3 linked regions of the Sus scrofa genome follow. The protein of the gene in region 1 binds, or shares a complex with, the protein of each later gene. Links are inferred from orthologs where the notes say so. Each region holds a gene or a part of one and is shown on either strand. Other genes may lie near its edges.

Region 1 (4,054 bases):
ACACTACCCAAGGCATGGTGCAGCTTCTGTTTGAGTAGCACCTCAAGCCCAGTGGCTGCCCCTCCCAGGTTGGTTTTCCATCTTACAGTTGGGGCAGAAGCACATGGGCTCACAGGGGTTGGGTGCAAAGAAGCTGTTTGCACATGGAAGGACTCAATAAAAGAGAGCAGTTCTTTCATGTGCGGGTGCTTTTCTGACTGTCATCTGTCAGATGTCCTGTGCCCACCCTTCCACTGTCACCCTCCTTCCTCAGGCCCCCTTCCCCTATCTTCTGCCCAACGGTGACCCCCCCCACTCTAGGTGACTGCTCCTATGTCCCCTACTCCTTGGGGGTCCCCCTCCCCTGTGCCCTTCTCCCCACTGGCTCCCCATCTCTGGCAGACCCACTCCCTCTCTGCCCCAGCTTCCCACTCTCCACTCTGGGTGGTCCTCCTCGGACTCCCTGTACGCTGTGTCCCCATCCTCTGATGGAGTCCTCCCCACCAGGTCGCCTTTCTCTCAGTGGCTCCCCAAGCCACCCTCAAAGCCGCACGCATCACAGCCGCCCGCCTTAGTAGCGCTCGGCCGCCAGGAGGCAGCACCCTGTTGGGGCGGAGCCGGGTGACCGCCCCCTCCCGCTAGGGCTTAAGGGACCCCCCTTGGAGCCCGCCCACGCGAGATGAGGACGGCGGCCCGGCCCCCCCAAGCCTTCCCCCTGAGGGCCGCCCCCGCCCCGCGCGCTTCCTGGGTGGGGCCGGGGCGGCTTCAAAACCCCCCGCCGCCCCAGCCGGTCCCTGCAGCCGCCGCCGCCGCCCTTCGCGCCCGGCTTCGTCCCACCCCCCTCCTCCCGCCGCGGATCCACCAGACAGCTAGGCCCCCGGCCGGGGGCAGGGGGGACGCCCCCTCCGGGGCACCCCCCGGCTCGGAGCCGCCTGCGGGGCCAGCCTCAGCCAGAAGAGGAGGAAGAAGCCGCCGAGGAGCAGCCCGAGGCCCCAGGGTCTGAGGCGAGCCGCCGCCGCCCCCGCCGCCGCCGCCGCCGCCGCTGCGGGGAGGAGGGGGAGGAGGAGCGGGAGGAGGGACGAGCTGGTTGGGAGAAGAGGAAAAAAAGTTTTGAGACTTTTCCGCTGCCGCTGGGAGCCCGAGGCGCGGGGACCGCTTCGCGCAGCGCTGCCCCGCGAGGCAGGACTTGGGGACCCCAGACCGCACCCTACCACCGCCTCGGACGCTTGCTCCCTCCCGGCCCCCTGCGCGGCGTTCCCTAGGTGCCCCCATTCCGGACCTGCCGTCTGGAGCCGCAAACCCGACTCCCGCGAAGACTTGACCCCAAAGCTCGGGCGCACCCCCCTGCACACTTCCCCACTCTCAGCCTCTCTGCTGAGCCCCTGCGCATCCAAGGACCCTTCTCGGATCCGGGAGACGGAATCTGTCTCAGACCTGCCTCAGCTTTCCTATTCAAGACCACCCACCTCTGGTACCAGATCTCGCCCATCTCGGTTTTTTCCGTAGGATACCGAGAACCCACCCATCAGAGCCTCCCTTCCACCTCTGCTCCTCCGTTCTCCCTGAGAGCCTCAACTTCCCTCCCACCCCAGATCCTCCTACCTTTTCTGGGGAGACCCCTCAGCCCCTGTAGGGGCGGGGCCTCCCTCTTCCTACCCCAGCCGGCTCGCACTCTCGGCTGTGCCGGGGGGCGCCGCCTCCCCCATGCCGCCTTCGGGGCTGCGGCTCTTGCCGCTGCTGCTGCCGCTGCTGTGGCTGCTAGTGCTGACGCCTGGCCGGCCGGCCGCCGGACTGTCCACCTGCAAGACCATCGACATGGAGCTGGTGAAGCGGAAGCGCATCGAGGCCATTCGCGGCCAGATTCTGTCCAAGCTTCGGCTCGCCAGCCCCCCGAGCCAGGGGGACGTGCCGCCCGGCCCGCTGCCTGAGGCCGTACTGGCTCTTTACAACAGTACCCGCGACCGGGTAGCCGGGGAAAGTGTCGAACCGGAGCCCGAGCCAGAGGCGGACTACTACGCCAAGGAGGTCACCCGCGTGCTAATGGTGGAAAGCGGCAACCGTGAGCTCAGAAGGGCCGGGGATCCTGGAGGGGAGCCCCCAGGGGGCGCCGGAGTGCAGGGGTCACGGGGAGGAAATTACCCTAGAGGAAACTGGCCGGAGGAAGAGGACCCGGGGGTGCCGGGAACGCGTTGGCGGGGGGGGGGGTCCCAAAGAAGATAGGGCTGAGCTCCCTATGTCCCAGATACCTAGTCTTGAAGAGGAGATAGCGAAGTGGACCGCTTTTAGAGAGCGACAGGAACATGTGGGATCGTGGGGGGAGTCCATTAGAGGGAGAGAAGCGAAGCAGTTGCAGGGGGAGTAGAAAAGCACTTCCCCTTGCAGGGTGCAATAAAATGAGGGGTCGTGGGGTAGGGGCTGCAGAGAGGGAGCCTGATTCGGAAAAATCGAGGACCCCAGAATTTGGGAAAGGAGAAAGAGTGGGTAAGCGGACCCAGAGCTTAGGGGTCGTGTGGCAGGAAGATCCAAGAAAGACAGAAAAACTAGGTGAAACGAACCCCGGAGGTGCCAAAGAAGTGGAGAGTGGACCCACTTGCACAGGGCTAGAGGAGAGTACGAAGGATCTGGGGAGGGCTCAGAGAGAGAGGCGGGGAGGGGTGATACATGCGGGGAAAAAAGGGGGGCGCGATGTCGTAGGGTGGAGGAAGCTAGCGGGAAAGTAGACCCCAGTTGGAGTGCCAGGGATGCGCGGAGAGGCGCCCTGAGTATTTCGCACACGGACTTGAGAGAAGGAAGCCCGGCGGAGGAAGCGGGGCCCCAGGAAACCTAGAATACTGGGTCGTGGGAAGGGGTTTATAGAGCGGCGAGACAAGCGTGGGAAAGGTGGACCTGGGAGGAGGCAGAGGAGAGAAGGACCGTGCCATGCTGGGAGCAGCGAGCGACTCCCATGTCCCCGGGATGGAAGGCAGAAGGCTGAGTGAGCAGTCGAGCCATAGGGGGAGAGGTGGGTGGGTGCGACTCTACAAGATCGGGGTAAGAAAACCGAACTGGTATGGGTGAGGAAGCCCCACGTGGGTGCCACGCGCGGGGGGAGGAGCCTGCGCTTCCGGAAGGGGGCAGGAGGACTACGTAGAGCTAGACGCGGAGAGCCAGGACCCCAAACTCTTAGTTCCTCTCTGGGAGGCTGGGGAAACCCCAGCGTCCGGCCGCCTCGCCCTCCCTCCCCTCCCTTTCCTTCCCGTGCCTGGTGGCGGGGGGTGGGGGGGGGATCGCGCGCGGAGCCCGAGGCGAGACGAGACAGGTCCGGTCCCCGCCCTCGCGCCGGCGGCGCCTCCCGCCCTCTTCACCCCCAGCTCTGGGCGGGGCTACCGCTGGGCCGGCCCCTCGAGCACCCGCGCGGGGACCCAGGCGTCCCGCGTGGCCCGGAGGCTTGGGGGCGCCCCCTCCGCCTTCGCTTTCTTCCTTGGCCGTGTAGTTGTGGGTCTCTGGCCCATTTGTGCGCCCAGTTGCGACTTCAGCCAAATGACGCCTCTACCTACTCGCATCTCTGTGTCACCTTTTCCGTCCTGGTCGCCTCACTTACGTTGTAGAGATTTTTTCAGCACTGACACCTTCAATCCCTTTATGCCTCCATCTGGTCTCTGAACTCTACGTCTCTCTTCCTGTGTGTCTCTATCGCCCATCTTTGCCTTTCCATCTCTCCCGTCGTGCTCTGTCACTGTCTGAATCTTCTAGTTTCTGCCTCGCCACCTCTTCTTTCTCTTTTTCTTCTCCATACCCCAATCTCCAGCTCTCCCCTCTGACCGTTCCTGGCCCTTCTATCTCTCTTCCTCCCTGTTTGTCTCCCCGCTTGTGCTCTACCCTCCCTTTGGGGTCTGCTGAGTAACCCCTGGGCCAAGATAGGGCTTATTTGGCGGGTGAGGGGGGGGTGACTGGCCTGGCTAGACAAGGACTAGTAGGGGAAGGAGGCCCCCAGAAGGGGCTTCCTCTGTCCTTTCTCATCAGATGTCTCCAGCATGTCCCCCACCCCCCATGCACAGGCGGAAAGCAACTTCCCCAGTTGACCAGGCCTTCATGG
Region 2 (3,564 bases), on another chromosome or scaffold:
TTACAGTGCAGTTTTTAGAAATTAGTAACAAGGATAAATTGGGAATTAGGAATTATAATTTTTAGTAACTTGTGGATCAAAAAAGAGATCATATTAGAACTTTACTTAGAAGTGAATCATAATGAAAATACTACATCAAAATGTATCATATATCCCAGAAGGAGAATGTAAAGGTAGATGTATAGCCTTAAATACTATTTAATTTAAATGAAAGATTACGAAAAAAATGAAGGAAAAACAAACAAAAAAACCCTCGTTAAAATTAGAAATTGAAAAGGGCCATAAATACAGATAAAGGATCAATTGTAATTATAGAATATTAGTAATAACCTTGTGTGAAAATGTAGAAAACTTAGGTAAAATAGAGACATTCTTAGAAAACCCTAATACAACTGTCATATGAAGAAACAGAAAACTGAAAAATTCATTTAAACCATATAAAAAATTGAACTGAGAATTAAAAATCTTAAGGGATCACAAGGCACAGATACTTTTATAGGCAATATCTACAAAACCGTCATGAGCAAGAAATTCCAATATTAAACTCTTCTAAAGAATAGAAAAACAGGAGTTCCCGTCGTGGTGCAGTGGTTAACAAATCCGAATAGGAACCATGAGGTTGCAGGTTCTGTCCCTGACCTTGCTCGGTGGGTTAACGATCTGGCGTTGCCAGTGAGCTGTGGTGTAGGTTGCAGACGTGGCTTGGATCCCGCGTTGCTGTGGCTCTGGCGTAGGCCAGTGGCTACAGCTCCGATTCAACCCCTAGCTTGGGAACCTCCATATGCCATGGGAGCGGCCCAAGAAATAGCAAAAAAAAAAAAAAAAAAAAAAAAAAAGAGTAGAAAAACAAAATATATTTTCGCCTTCATATTCTATGAAGCTAGTGTAATTGATACCCAGACTGGTCAAAGATAGTAAAATCAAGGAGAATTCATGCCAGTCTTACAAAAACACAGATGTAAAATCACTAAGCAAATATAAACAAACTAAAGCCTAAAGATTTTAGGAGTTCCCGTCGTTGTGCAGTGGTTAACGAATCTGACTAGGAACCATGAGGTTGCGGGTTCAATCCCTGCCCTTGCTCAGTGGGTTAATGATCTGGCATTGCCGTGAGCTGTGGTGTAGGTCGCAGACACGGCTCAGATCCTGCGTTGCTGTGGCTCTGGTGAAGGCTGGTGGCTACAGCTCCGATTGGACCCCTAGCCTAGGAACCTCCATATGCCGTGGGAGCGGCCCAAGAAATGGCAAAAAGACAAAAAAAAAAAAAAAAAATTTAAAAAAACAAAACAAAAGATTTAAAAATCTACCAACTTAGGAGTTCCCTTGTGGCACAGCAGGTTAAGCACCCAGCATTGTTACTGCAGTGGTTTGGGTCGCTCTGTGGCACAGGTTCAAAACCTTGCCCAAGAAGTTCCATATGCCACAGGCTTGGCCAAAATGTGTGTGTGTGTACTTTAATGAACAGAGTGAAAATATGGCCATCTTACCTAAGTGCCGGAAAGGTTGTTAATTTAATAATGACTCAAGGTACAAGCAAACACGACAAACATTTCAAGTAACATTTATGAAGAAATACTATTTTACATTATTCAAACAAAATCTGCCAGTACTATTGATTGGTCAAGATGTGAATTAATGAGAATTCCTACACATTGCTAGTGGCAGTGTAAATTGTTAGGAAGACTTTGGAAAATAATATATTATCTTACAGAGGTGACAAATCTGCTTGCCGCTATGTAGAACAATACAGCATGTTTTTTTTGTCATAGAGAAAACAAGCAAAAAACTCAAAACAATCTAAATAACCTAATAGAAAAAAAAAAGGAAAAATAAAACTCTACAAAATTATGAATTGAAAAGGACGTAAGTACAGATAAATGATCAATTAAAATAATAGAATATTATGAATAACTTTGACAGAAGAATGGATAAATTGTGGGTTTATTATATGATAAATATTATTCAACAGTAAAAACCTTGGATACATGCAACAGTGTGAATGAATCTTAAAGAGAGTGTTGAACAGATAGAAAATGACAGAAGAATATGTATGATCTCATTTAAAAAAACAAACAAACAGGAAAAGCAATCTGAAAAACATACTGTTTAAGGACATATGCACTAGAATAAAACTACTGAAAGCAACCAAGGGAATGGTAAACATAAAATTCAGGCAGTGGTAAAATTCAGGTACCTCTGGAAGCAAGACAGAGGGATGAAAAGGGAAAAGAACATGTGGGTAACTTAAGCGGTGTGGGAAATGTCCTAGTTATTATTCATGTCAGGTGTGTGTTTCAGTGCTCATTTTAATGACATGCCTCAAATATTTTGGGGTGAGTCAAATGTTACATTATAAAACAAAAATCGATTAAGGGTTCTCACTGGATAATGATAATCTTTTTGGATACTCTATTCTTATGTAAGTCTAGCTTTTCAAAGAGTTTTGATAGAATTGGATCAAGACTTGAATACAGCTGGCTTTGTATTGTGCATTTAAGGATTTCTCCAGATAGTTTGATGTCACAAGTTGATGTCTTTGTTAATTCAAAATATTTCCATTTTTAGGATGAATCTGAATTTAGAGACAAACTCACTCCCATTACTATTTTTATGGAGTATCGACTGGATTATACAACAGCTGCTGATGTAACAGGCTTGCAACCCATTCTTAACCAATTCACTCCTGCCAACATTAGTCGACAGGTATTGTACTTTATTAATGTATCATTGATTTTATCATTAATATTATACTTTTAACTTTTTAAAAAGTCTTAATCGTTCGTATTTTTTAATGGCATAAAGAATTGCTTTTATAATGTTGAGTTTTTAGCTAAGGTCAGAGGGGAAGGAATCTGGATTTTCAAATCTGAGACATTTAAAGCCACTGAGAACTTAGTGATATGCAGAGGAAGACAAGGTAGATTTCATATGCATAAAACAGTAAAGTGAGTCAAGGAAAGCAACACAATGCCAATTTATTTACATAATATTTTAGTATTTTGCTAAACAAATTTATCATCTTTTATATTTTAATTGTAAAAAATAGTACATGTACACATATACACATATATAATACATTTTCATAAAACCAAAGAAAGCAGCATAAAATTTCATAGACTATATTAAAATATTTTAAGAAAATCCTGTGTAAAACCCATACATTCAAATATTGTTATTATAGTTTCTGTTTTTTCCTCTTTTATTACATGTTCATATGTTTATTTACTTTTTTCTATTTTTTAATTACTCAATGAATTTATTACATTTATAGTTGAACAATGATCATCACAATCCAGTTTTATAAGATTTCCATCCCACAATCCTGGCGCATCCTCCCACTCCCCAAACTGTCTCCTTTGGAAACCATAAAGTTTTTCAAAGTCTGTGAGTCAGTATTGTTCTGCAAAGAAGTTCCTTGTGTCCTTTTTTCAGATCCCACATGTCAGTGAAAGCATTTGATGTTGGTGTCTCATTGTCTGACTGACCTCACTCAGCATGATAATTTCTAGGTCCATCCATGTTGCTAAAAATCTGGTATTTCATTACTTTTAATGGCTGAGTAAT
Region 3 (3,564 bases), on another chromosome or scaffold:
CGAGGCCAGGGATCGAACCCACATCCTCATGGATTCTAGTCGGGGTTGTTTCCACTAAGCCACAATGGGAACTCCCCCAGCCTCATATCTTTAAATCCATGGTAATGATCCTAGATTTACAGTTGATAGTTCCGTAACACCCCATTTGCTGAGTCAGATATCAAACTTCATCAGACACATCTTCACTTGGTCATCTCCTAGATGTCTTCAAATTAACATCTTCTTGAGTCCCATCCTCTACACAATACCTGATCCTTCCCCAGGGTCACCCCTCTCAGAAAAGAGTTTCATATACTCTGTTGCTCAGGCTAAAAATCTTTCTTCCACATTCACATTCAATCCATAAGCACATTCTGTTTTCAAATGCTATCCTGTATCGGACCACCTCTGCCCTCCTACATCAGCACTATTCTGGTTCCAATCACTCCTAGAAAACAGCCGTAAATTCCTAATTGATCTCCCACTTTCCAGTCTAGCCCCATATTTTCTAAGCTTCATAGCAGTCAGAGTGATGATTGTTTTAAAATGTAAACTAAGAGTTCCCATCATGGTGCAGCAGAAATGAATCTGACTAGGAACCGTGAGATTGCAGGTTCAATCCCTGGCCCCGCTCAGTGCGTTAAGGATCCGGCATTGCCATGAGCTGTGGCTCTGCAGAGGAGGCTCGGATTTGGTGTTGCTATGGTTCTGGCATAGGCCGGCAGCAACAGCTCTGATTAGATCCCTAGCCAGGGAACCTCCATATGCCACAGGTGCCACCCCTGGAGAAAAAAAGACAAAAGACTAATTAATTAATTAATTAATTAAATGTAAATTAAATTATACCATCCCCCTGCTTTCAATCTTCCAGTGACATTTTAACACATTTTGAATAAAATTCAAGGTCAAGACTACGTCCAATCTGACCTCTGCCTCTAAAGCTGACCTCACTTGCTACCACCCCCTCTGTCCCTTCTTGTACTCTGCCTTCCCTGAAAATGCCTGGTCTGCCATCAGAGCCATGGCACTTTGTTGCCCAAGTCATTTAGGGCTCTTTCAGACATCAGCTGATCAGGGATGTCTTCCCTGACCATCCCAAGTAACATAGCACACCTTTCCGAACCATCAGCCATTACCCATTGTTATCATTTTTCATAGCCCTTATGACAGCATGATTTTAAGAATCAGTCTTCCCCTACCTGCTACCCCCCAGCATAGAATATATACTTCATGTGTCAAGAGTTTGACTTTGTTTACTGACCTATCCTCTGCTTCTAGAACAATATTTGACCCAAAGTAGATGCTCAATAAATATTTATTGAATGAATGGATGAATGTGTGAATAAATAAATGAGTGACAAGATACAAGTCTTATCCAGAGGTAATAGGAGAGGCACAGATAATCTGCGCCTCCATCTTTCTCTTCAAGCTAAACCAACCAATTTCATATAAATGTATTTTTCTCCCCAAAGGTAAACTTCCAACTCTTTAATAATTCTGGTTTCTCTCTGCAGGATTCTTGCCATGTTCTTCCAGATTGCAGTGTATGATGGAGTGCAAAATTGAACATAGCCTTCTGAGAAGAACCTGAGCAGTCTATAATTAGTTTTCCTCACTTCACAGGTTTCACATGCTACCTAGAAATATACTTTCAAAAGATAATCTTCCAGGACTAAGCCTAGCCACAGTGAAGCCTGTCTAAGGTCAAGCAGTTTGGAGAGTATCAAAGTGAATATTTGCTTGCAGTATCTACAAATCCCAATCACTGTCTGGAATGCATTAAGAAAAATTCTTAATCAAGCTCATGAAGTTAGCCATAGAGGGTATATATCTGAAATTTGTCACTCTTTTGTTCAACAAATACATATCTTCTATGTGCCAAGCCGTGAGCTAGAAACAAGGACAGTCCATGAGGAAAAGAACTTGGTCACTACCGAGAAGGGAGGGATTCCGAATCTTAAGCATCATTGTTTCTGTTTCCATTGTCGTTGTTTGAGATTCATTTTGGTCTAATTTAATTTTAATATATTACATTTTTTTTCTAATAATGCTTTTAAATAAGAATTCTCTACACATGGAAAAAGAGATTTTATCCAACTTTAAAAACAAGAGAACACAGTATTTTTCTCTCCCTAGCCTGACTTCTAAATTGAAAAATAATCATTTTTATTTTTCAGAGTTCATCTCAATTCTCTGCAAAAGATTTCACAATGAAACAGAAAAATCTCAGGTATTCTCCTTTAGCTCATTTTTAAAACCCTCCTCTACATAGCATATATTTGTATTTTATTTATCATCTTTACTGTTTACATTAATTTTAAATTATTTTAAAAACAACTTTAGACCATATTTTAATTGCTCTTTTGACATTTCACTGATCAGTATTTTACTAAAGGTGTCAACTTTCTCTAGGAAGCAGAGAGACTAATAGAATTTACACAAAAATTTCTACTGAATGAATTTCCCCACCTTCTTGGTGATTGTACACCTGCCTTCCTTATAAGGAGAACAAGGAAGTAAATCATGTTGAAGTTGCTCTTAAACACAGCTTTTCTTCTTTACCTGTCCAGGTAGCTTCTGTTTTCATTTCAGCCTTAATGAAAACTTTTTAATTTACATCTCAAGTTTCTTTTCAAAACAGTGTAAGTAGTGTTTACAGTTTCACACTTGAAGAAAGAAAGACTTTTAACGATGTTCAGCTTTGGTCTTGTAATGTTGAAGGTAATTCATTTTTTAATCTGTCTGCACAGCGAGAACTGAAACGGATGGGGATTGAACTGCTTTGCCTGTTCTTTCTATTTCTAGGAAGGAATGATCACGTACAAGGTAAGACGCAAGTTCTCTGATATATTGCTTTTGTGGTATGCTTGACCTGTCATTTGGTTCAGAAACTAGATCCGAAGTCATTCTTTTATTTTGATCTGTTCAATTGCTCCTTTGCCATTGAACGAACTCTTTAACAAATTACAGGCGACGCAGGGCTGTTCCCACAGCAAATGCTCTGGGCTTAAGGTAAATAAATACAAAGGTTCCTTGGGCACTTAAATGAGGAGAGTGAAACAGCACTACTGCACAACAGGACTTCTTAATACCCTTATGACGATCGTTTTGGTAATTTTTCTGGCTATTTTATTGTACATCAAAGGCTTCCACTTGAGAGTGAAAACTTTGAGGGGAAAAAAGATTTATTTTTAAAATAAAATCATCGTACATTTGAGAGAGCAGTGTTCTTTAATGGGTGCGAACAATTTTTTTTAAATTAAAGGAGATGATAAATATGATGATCCTGTATTTGTGGATGTTGACATATTTTCATACTTGAAGAATCAAAGAGAATGATTGTTTGGGGCCAAGACACATATTTTCAATGTGATAGATGTCAACTATGAACTTTACTATGGATTGCTAACATTTTGAGGACAGATTTTTGGAGACTAAAAAATAAACTTTGGTATTGTTTTGTTCAAGTACTTTAAGAGCTGTATGGCTCACAAATGGCGTGGCTGAGAGTGTGCTGAATCCCTTGTGTCTTGCTGGGTTTAAACACAGGTGGCTGTGCCCTGGGAGGTGCAGAGACCTGTGAAG

Evidence for each region. Proteins that work in one complex are often made in the same cells at the same time.
Region 2: the proteins of TGFB1 (region 1) and ITGAV are in contact, whole or in part, in a crystal structure (PDB 5FFO), measured with the Homo sapiens proteins. The link is inferred for Sus scrofa from reciprocal best matches to the Homo sapiens genes TGFB1 and ITGAV. Residues at the interface, in NP_000651.3 of Homo sapiens: Gly242, Arg243, Arg244, Gly245; in NP_002201.2 of Homo sapiens: Asp178, Asp180, Phe207, Tyr208, Gln210, Ala245, Asp248.
Region 3: the proteins of TGFB1 (region 1) and ITGB6 are in contact, whole or in part, in a crystal structure (PDB 5FFO), measured with the Homo sapiens proteins. The link is inferred for Sus scrofa from reciprocal best matches to the Homo sapiens genes TGFB1 and ITGB6. Residues at the interface, in NP_000651.3 of Homo sapiens: Pro70, Gly71, Pro72, Glu75, Leu158, Asn237, Gly245, Asp246, Leu247, Thr249, Ile250, His251, Met253, Asn254; in NP_000879.2 of Homo sapiens: Ser142, Ala143, Ser144, Asp146, Asp147, Pro196, Cys197, Ser199, Ile200, Pro201, Tyr202, Lys228, Lys231, Ile232, Ser233, Ala234, Asn235, Ile236, Asp237, Thr238, Glu240.

What each region holds. Positions count from the first base shown.
Region 1 is NC_010448.4:49,345,828-49,349,881, reverse strand, and holds the start of TGFB1 (transforming growth factor beta-1), read left to right. Parts: upstream 1-1,239; 5' UTR 1,240-1,485; coding exon of another isoform or gene 1,486-1,612; 5' UTR 1,613-1,683; coding exon 1,684-2,038; intron 2,039-4,054. Other genes in the region: basic proline-rich protein-like, read left to right, coding at 659-727, 780-976, 1,486-1,612. UniProt on the Homo sapiens protein: Transforming growth factor beta-1 proprotein: Precursor of the Latency-associated peptide (LAP) and Transforming growth factor beta-1 (TGF-beta-1) chains, which constitute the regulatory and active subunit of TGF-beta-1, respectively.
Region 2 is NC_010457.5:91,681,419-91,684,982, forward strand, and holds part of ITGAV (integrin alpha-V precursor), read left to right. Parts: intron 1-2,565; coding exon 2,566-2,703; intron 2,704-3,564.
Region 3 is NC_010457.5:67,119,855-67,123,418, reverse strand, and holds part of ITGB6 (integrin beta-6), read left to right. Parts: intron 1-1,602; 5' UTR 1,603-1,783; coding exon 1,784-1,802; intron 1,803-2,156; coding exon 2,157-2,209; intron 2,210-2,391; exon of another isoform or gene 2,392-2,621; intron 2,622-2,729; coding exon 2,730-2,805; intron 2,806-3,528; coding exon 3,529-3,564. UniProt on the Homo sapiens protein: Integrin alpha-V:beta-6 (ITGAV:ITGB6) is a receptor for fibronectin and cytotactin. It recognizes the sequence R-G-D in its ligands. Internalization of integrin alpha-V/beta-6 via clathrin-mediated endocytosis promotes carcinoma cell invasion.